Tribolium castaneum: one gene and its partner. The protein of the gene in region 2 binds, or shares a complex with, the protein of the main gene of each other region. Links are inferred from orthologs where the notes say so. Each region holds a gene or a part of one and is shown on either strand. Other genes may lie near its edges.

What was found. Proteins that work in one complex are often made in the same cells at the same time.
Region 1: the proteins of targeting protein for Xklp2 (region 2) and aurA are in contact, whole or in part, in a crystal structure (PDB 3HA6), measured with the Homo sapiens proteins. The link is inferred for Tribolium castaneum from reciprocal best matches to the Homo sapiens genes TPX2 and AURKA. Residues at the interface, in NP_036244.2 of Homo sapiens: Gln3, Lys5, Ser6, Ser7, Tyr8, Ser9, Tyr10, Asp11, Ala12, Pro13, Ser14, Asp15, Phe16, Ile17, Phe19, Ser20, Ile31, Asp32, Trp34, Phe35, Glu36, Lys38, Ala39; in NP_001310232.1 of Homo sapiens: Lys125, Arg126, Gln127, Trp128, Asp132, Glu152, Gln154, Ser155, Phe157, Leu159, Lys166, Glu170, Gly173, Glu175, Leu178, Arg179, Val182, Glu183, Ile184, Ser186, His187, Leu188, Arg189, Tyr197, Gly198, Tyr199, His201, Val206, Tyr246, Ser249.

What each region holds. Positions count from the first base shown.
Region 1 is NC_087394.1:2,112,217-2,115,972, forward strand, and holds the start of aurA (aurora kinase A), read left to right. Parts: upstream 1-1,561; 5' UTR 1,562-1,646; coding exon 1,647-2,073; intron 2,074-3,756. UniProt on the Homo sapiens protein: Mitotic serine/threonine kinase that contributes to the regulation of cell cycle progression.
Region 2 is NC_087394.1:27,765,438-27,769,193, forward strand, and holds targeting protein for Xklp2, read left to right. Parts: upstream 1-1,225; 5' UTR 1,226-1,346; coding exon 1,347-1,434; intron 1,435-1,483; coding exon 1,484-1,612; intron 1,613-1,664; coding exon 1,665-1,764; intron 1,765-1,811; coding exon 1,812-1,908; intron 1,909-1,955; coding exon 1,956-2,221; intron 2,222-2,271; coding exon 2,272-2,791; intron 2,792-3,152; coding exon 3,153-3,551; 3' UTR 3,552-3,663; downstream 3,664-3,756. Other genes in the region: PIG-M (GPI mannosyltransferase 1), read right to left, coding at 3,677-3,756. UniProt on the Homo sapiens protein: Spindle assembly factor required for normal assembly of mitotic spindles. Required for normal assembly of microtubules during apoptosis. Required for chromatin and/or kinetochore dependent microtubule nucleation.

The sequences.
Region 1 (3,756 bases), about 26 Mb from region 2:
GAAAAAGACGTGCTCGCCCAGCTGTTGCCCCTCGTTATCGGGCGAAGAACGCCTGGTTTGTATAATTTGATTCGATTTTGGGACCAATTTTCAAAAACGCAACTTGGCCACACTGTAGGGCGGCGTTGCCGGGTTGTGCCCTGGCGCACTTTCCGCAAGTTTATCGAACAGCTGGTAGGATTACGTAATTTGCGATAATATCCAACAAATGTGCTTTGTTGTCCCGATTAGGGAAAAAAATCAGTGATAAGTGGTACAGGGACTTGGAAATAGGCACCAAGTGGGGTCGCTGATGTGGCAATGCCATCTAGGTATATTGTATCAGAATGGCACAAACTACGTAAATTTGTATTACAAGAAAACAAAATAACTTGTTTTTAGATGTTCACACCTTTAATAAATTTTTTTGGTAAAGTTGTCTTTTTCGCCTATTTTTTCTGTGATGTCCGAAAAGGGGTGATCAGGTAATAATCCGTTTTGACCTGATAAGATGCGGTGCCGAATTTCTAGGACTCGAACACGTAAAGAGAGGGTGCCCGGTATTTGGGGATTCAATAGTGCCCAATTTATGCACGCCTGTTATCATAACTCGCCTGTTTTGGTAATAATATTGTCCGATTTTGGGAAATAGAAAATAAAGATGCAATAAATGATAATTTACTGGACACCCTTCACAGAATTCTTGTGAAAAACATTTTAACAAAACACATGGGCGGTTTATGGTTTATGGTTTACGGTCCTTTTAAGCAAACGCCGCCTGATGCGCAAAATAGCTTTAAACCGTTTGTTGTCGGTGGAGAAAAGGAGAGCTAGGGATCATAAACTAAATGAGGGGTACGTACATTTCGTTCATGAAAAATTATTTAAAATTGGAACTCGTAGTAAACGATTCTACCGAAAATTCTTTTCACTTATCACACAGTTGTGTAATTATAATTAATGAAAACAGTGATAGTACCAAGTTGATTGTAGTCTGACTGTTCATGTAAAGCTCTAATAAATTGAGTATAAATGATAATCTGTTAGCAGGCCCGGTAATTCAGCCTGATTTATTTCCGATTTTAATTCAATTTCGGATATATTTTTTAACATTGTTCCGACAACTAAAAGGCCATAATTTTATTTTTGAAAAATGTCTTTTTTATTGTTGAATTGGTGGTCAAAAGGGCATTGTGTGACAAAACCGATTTCGGGGTGAAATGGGGCGATAGTGCATTTGCGGAGCTATAAATATTGAAATTAGGTGAAAAAGTGGGAAAAATTAAGAAGCAATTTGTGGTAAATAATTGAGTTTTTCGCTATTAGCAAAGTGACTTTCTTAAAATGTCATTTTTAAGAGGGTGTTTAGTGTTTTTTCGGATTTTTATTTTATTAAACGGTTTCAAAGCTGACAACCAAACATACATCTACGCAAATTGAAACGTATTTTGCTAGTGTGAAACTGGCTTCATGTTCGGGTTTCTTCGGAATTTCGAGGAGCTGGTTTGGGGAGCTGTCTTCACACAAATTTGTTTTGGGTTTTTCGTGTTGGAGTGTTGGCAGTTGAAAAACCGTTGACTTACGAAGTGACAATTCAAATTCGAACTTATCACAAGTTGAAATTGTGCAAAAGTGTTAAGTCGGAGTGAAGTGTTTTTGTTGTAAATATGTCCCAAAGGAAGGCCCCCGTGTGCCAAAACAAGGAGAACAACGTTCCGCGCGCCGCGGCGAAAAAGGGCCCCCCGGCGCAAAAGGGGGCTCTCTCCGAGAACAAGGCCCAGAAGGGGGCTGCAAGTGACACGGCTCAGGAGAGTTCGAAGGGGCGGCGTTGGACCTTGGCGGACTTCGATATCGGGAAGCCCCTCGGGCGTGGTAAATTCGGAAACGTGTACTTAGCTCGCGAAAAACAGTCGAAATTTGTCGTTGCGCTTAAAGTGCTGTTCAAAAGTGCGATCAAAGACTTCAATAACGAGCACCAAGTGCGGAGGGAAATCGAGATTCAGTCGCACTTGAGACACAACAATATTCTGCGAATGTATGGCTATTTTCACGACGAGTCGAGGGTCTACATAATACTGGAATACGCCCCCAATGGTAAGCCCCCACGTACAGTGGTCCAAACTGCTCAAAACCCGCCAGAAATTGGTGAAATCATTAAATTTCATGTGTTTTATTAACAAAAAAACACATTTAAATTGGGGCTCAATAAACAATGAATGAAAAACAAGAGTTATTCGGAAAAATCTTCTAAAAGAAGAGCCTTCTGAAAGTTGCAAACTAAGCATTTTTGAATGATTTCAGTAAATGGTTGAGAAAGATTTATAAAATTTGTGGGTTAGTTATTACATTAAGTTAAATGGGGAACAAAGTTACTACTAAAAGCTGTCTTAACTAAAATAAAACCATTAACTACTATTTTAAAAAAACGTCTTGAGGTCAATACATTGGATACGGAAAAGTGGCTGACTATTATAAACTAAATAAAAACAATTTAAAACAATAAAATTTGTTTTTTCCATTCCCAAAAAAAAATATTTTCAATGTTGAAAAATCTGGAATGACGAGAGTAAGCTTTGAATTATCAGTGTTAAGAAGACTTTAAACTAAAATTTTTAATTTATGGTGCACTGAATTTGAAGGCAAAAAAATGTTGGTTTTTGTTACCAAATTAAATGAAAATGTATTTTCACTGTTTATTTGTTATGTCAGTAAAACTATTTCGCATTGTTTTGTAATATTATATTATATGAAAGTAGATTTAATTTTTATACTTTTTTTTACGAAATTTATTTTGATAAAACTTTGTAAATCGGTAAAAAAAGTCATGTCATATATACGAGAAATTATTATATTGAAAGTTATTACTAAAGTTCGGATTCCTAGCATTTTGCTAATTAAGCTTTTCTTTTTCAAATGAACCAATTTTCTTAACTTTTATTTGTCAGTTTGGCTAAAAAACTATGCTTTTATGCCAAAAAGCGTTTTTTCTGCTATTTTTATGCTAAGGTTGATAATTCTCAAGTTTTTTCAGTGTTAATATTATATAATAGTTTTAATTTTTCAAACTAATGAACATTTTGAGACGTCTTGGCGAAAAGTTTGACGAATGAAATTCAACAAAGTTGAAAACAGAATTTTTAAAAAATCGTCCTCGAATTTTTTTTGTACTAACAATTTTTTTAATAAAGGTTTGTTTTTGTAAAATATTTGATAAATAAATTTTATTTTGAATAGCACTGAAGTTTTCTTTAAAAAATGAATTAAAAAACTAGTTTTCTCCATTCATTCGAATCAATATTTTCATTGATAAAAAATCTATGGAATGACAACAGAAACACCTAAGCTCGACGTTTTTGTGATTTTATAAAAAAAACAAAAAAAATGGTTTAGACTACAAAGTTGAATGAAAAATTTATATTTATGAGTTTTTTGACATATTATTTATTTGTTGTATTTAAATGTGTAATATTGTGTATAAAAGCAGATTCATTTTTCACTTTTTTATTACTAAATCTATTTTTGTTAGCTATATATTGTTATTATTCTTACTATTATTTTGGGTTTGAAAAAAATCAAGGTGGCTGCGCTATTTAGAATTTAAATAGTCTGTTTTTTGGCATTTATCAAAATCTAACGAAAAAAGGGACCTTTTAACACAAATATTTTTTTTCAATTAAAATTAAAATTTCGAGTTTTTAGTTAAAAAAAAGTGAAAAAGAACATTTTTTTGACCTAATTTTTTCTGGTCGAAGACGTGCTTCATGTTTTCCTAAAAAC
Region 2 (3,756 bases):
AAATTAATTAAATTAATTAAATTAATTAAATTAATTAAATTAATTAAATTAATTAAATTAATTAAATTAATTAAATTAAATTAAATTAACTGAGCCGATTTGAAAAAAACTTAGGAACATGTAAAAAACTAAAAAAGTATGAGCACAAAAAAATAATATGATGCCGTTAAATAGTATATTATACATAGAAGATCTAAAGTACAGCATTTAATTCCGCGAGTGGAGTTTGTTGCCTCGAGGACAAAGCCCTCAAAAAATTTAGTACTTTGGTCCCGAGGTATATACGCTATTTTTTTTGCACTTCCGAGATTAAAATATATACTTTAGTTTCTGTCTATAGGAACTAACGTCAGTCATTTATTCCCTAAGGATGAAATATGAACTGAACCCCCTAGAGAGTTTATTTATTCCCTATGGAACAAATGACCCACTTTAATCACTGTAAACAGGGACTAAAGTACCAACTTTAGTCCTGAAAGTGTAAAACAATATTATTATAGCGTCATACTTTTTGAGATGCTCTGTATAATAAAAATATTTTTTTGAAATGTGTCCTAGAGTATGAAAAACATCTACAAAATATCAAAACTGGAAATTTAATATTAACTGAGCTAGAAGACCATCCTATATACAAAATTATGTTATGACTATTGAGTGGCTCCGGCTAGGCTTCCTCCTTAATAATAATTTATAAAAATTGATATAATTCTTTGTTCCGAGAACAGTGACAACGCTTTTTGAATTTTTTTATTTACAATTATAAATTATGTTTCATTTATTGTTGCATTTCAGCTAATTATACAAAATAAATTTTCACAATATATAACTGCGAAGATTTTTTATTTTACTTTACCTCAAAGAAATTCCCACCAATACGCTTCTTTTTTCTAATAAAAAATGTATGTGGTAAGACTGCTTCCAAAACCTCATTTCCAAGTTAGAAAATAATCAAAATTAGCGCTCCATAATTAGAAATTATTAATTAATAGTTAATTACTTTACAAGATGGCATAAACAATCACGGGCGTGTATATTTAGTTGCATATGCAACACCAATAGATATGATTAAATAATGTGGCTATGCAGCTTCATGCATTGGCCAAAAAACATCAAATCTTAATTTAGTTTTAGTCATGGTTAGTTTTAGGCCCATTCAAATGCTTATTTTTAAATTTCGGGGAACAAAAATCCTTGACAGAACAATAGCTGAACCAACCAATCAACAGGCCCGATTTTGACGCAAGCGCGCAATTCACCATTTCAAACTTCAGTAACGGTTGCACAGATTAGTTCATCTCAAACTTTGTTTTTGTGGCCTGAAAGCCGGTAATTATTTTGCTGAAATCATGGCCGATGCATTTGCTTTTAACGCCCGACAGTATTTCGATTTCACTCAAGAACACGACGAACTAAACAGTGATTCTTTCTTTGATGGTGAGTTTGGCAGATGTGTTTTGTAGTTTTCAATAGTTGTTTTTTAAAGAAAATGTAGAAGAGAACGGCCCTTTAGGCCAGGACCTGGAAGAAAATTTCCAATGCAATGGAGAGGTTTTTGAAAGGGAGGTGTCTGATCCCGAAAGTGACTATTTCTTCTCCCCTATGGAGGATACAAGTGTGTTGGTAAAATTCGGGTTTTTAGGTGTGATAAATGTTTTTTTTTGTAGAGACGAATAGCTCGACTATTTATCTCAAAAGTCGGATGCGGAAGTCTTTGAGTATGAATGATTTACGTCTTAAGAAAGTGCCAAATCAAAACGGACTCGAGTAAGTCTCATGAAGTCATTTGTTGCGATTTTAATCAGTTATTTTAGTCGAGCCATGGATGAGTTATGTCTAAATAACCACCAACTTGCAGAGCCCAGGCCGAGTTCTGCTTGTTCCTTGAACAGCAGAAAAACAATCTCAAAGGTAATTCTATAGTTAGCGATAAATCAAAAGTATAATTAATTTTTTAGGAACACATCAATCGATTAGCTCAACCTAAACGTTACACATCGCACGATAACTTGGCCCGACAATCGTCCATGACTTTAGCAGAGGCTGTCAATAAATTCCAAGCTGGGACACCCAAACGCTTCCGCTCCAAACCCCTAAACAGTAAAGCCCCACTAGGTCCAACTATCCCAAAAACGCCCAAATTTCTCACAAACGCTCGTGTGCGTCCAGTGACAGCACTCTCAAAGGAAGAGCAAGAAGAGAGGGAGCTTGAAGAAGCCAGAAAGTAAGTGCACAGCAAACAAAAAAGTGTATTCATAAATTAATAATCTCAAGGTTCAAGATCAAGGCAAATCCGGTGAACAAGAAAGTCCTAAGGGGCCCCATGAAGCCCCCAGTCGATAAAAAGTGCCCCACTGTTGCGGAACCCTTCCATTTGACTGAAGTGAGGAAGAAGCCCGAGCCCGATGAGCCTGATAAAGCCCCCTCATTCAAGGCACAACCTGTGCCTAAAAGTTTGCACAATCCATTCAGAGTCATACCCAAGGGACAGCCCCCGACCCAGCCTGAGTCCCCCAATTTTTCGAAAAAAATTGCCAGAACCACACCAAATAAAGTAACGAAGCAGGAAGAAGCGCCAAAACCATGCAAACCTACAAACACACATGTCAAACCGTTTAGTTTCGAAGAACGCGACAAGAAACTGATGAAGAAGAAAGAAGAATTGATTAATAGATATCTGGAAGAAGAGAAGAAAGCTCGTGAGTTCCACGCTAGGCCAGTTCCGAAATCTATACTGAGGTCGAGGAACAACAGCCAGGAAAATATCAGCGATCCTGGATCGTCAAAATCATTTGTGAGTTTGAAGTTTTTACCGAAAACTAGTTAAAAAAAATATTTTCCAAAACGATGCGGATATGGTTAAAGAAGCAAAAAAGTGTAAGGGAGCAAGGGAGAATTAAATCCTCAAAAAAAATCGTAAGATCTCTAGCTAAATTGTTCCCTCACCCAATGAAGATAAAGTAAATGTCTCTTAAGTGGGTTTCAATAATGCTTTATTTTTCGCAAATTTCTCATGAATTCATTAGTTTTCCTCATCTTTTCAGAATGCTCAACATTTTATTATTTTTACAAATAAATAGTAGTCTAACCCCGTTATTCTTTTTACCCCAAAATTTTGAATTTCTGGTTTTAGTTTAAATTGTATTTTTTTGTAGAAACGCAGCACTGAAGAATTGGATTTTGGCACTTTCAAAGCACGGCCCGCCAAAGTCTTAACTATGAAACCTTTTGAGCCGAAAAAGTGCGAGGATCATGGAATCGTGATCAAAGAGTTTCAATTTGCGACCAATCAAAGACTTGAAAAGCGACACGAGTTTGACGAGGCAGTGAGAGCTAAGGAAGCGAGACTTGAAGCTCAAAAACGGGAAATTGAGGAGAGACTGAGGCGACAGGAAGAAGAGGAGAAGTTGAAGTTGAGAAAACAGGCGGAGTTAAAAGCGCAACCAATTAAAAAGTACAAGGAAGTAACCATCAAGCCGGCGAATAAAATTACAAACCCGGTCAGTCCGAAGTTCAGTTCCAGGATCAGGAACAAGGAGAATATTGAGGAATAATTTGTAATTGTTTAAGGTGATATTATTTTTACGTTTTACTTGCTACTTTATTCGGTTTATTTTATTCTGTTATAAACTGTACAAATACACATTACAACTAATTAGCTACAAACAGCACGATTCCTTTACACTTCCTTCTTTACCGGCGCAAAAAACATGATAAGTCTCCCTAAAATTGCAATGTTGGCGCAGAAAAATGACACAC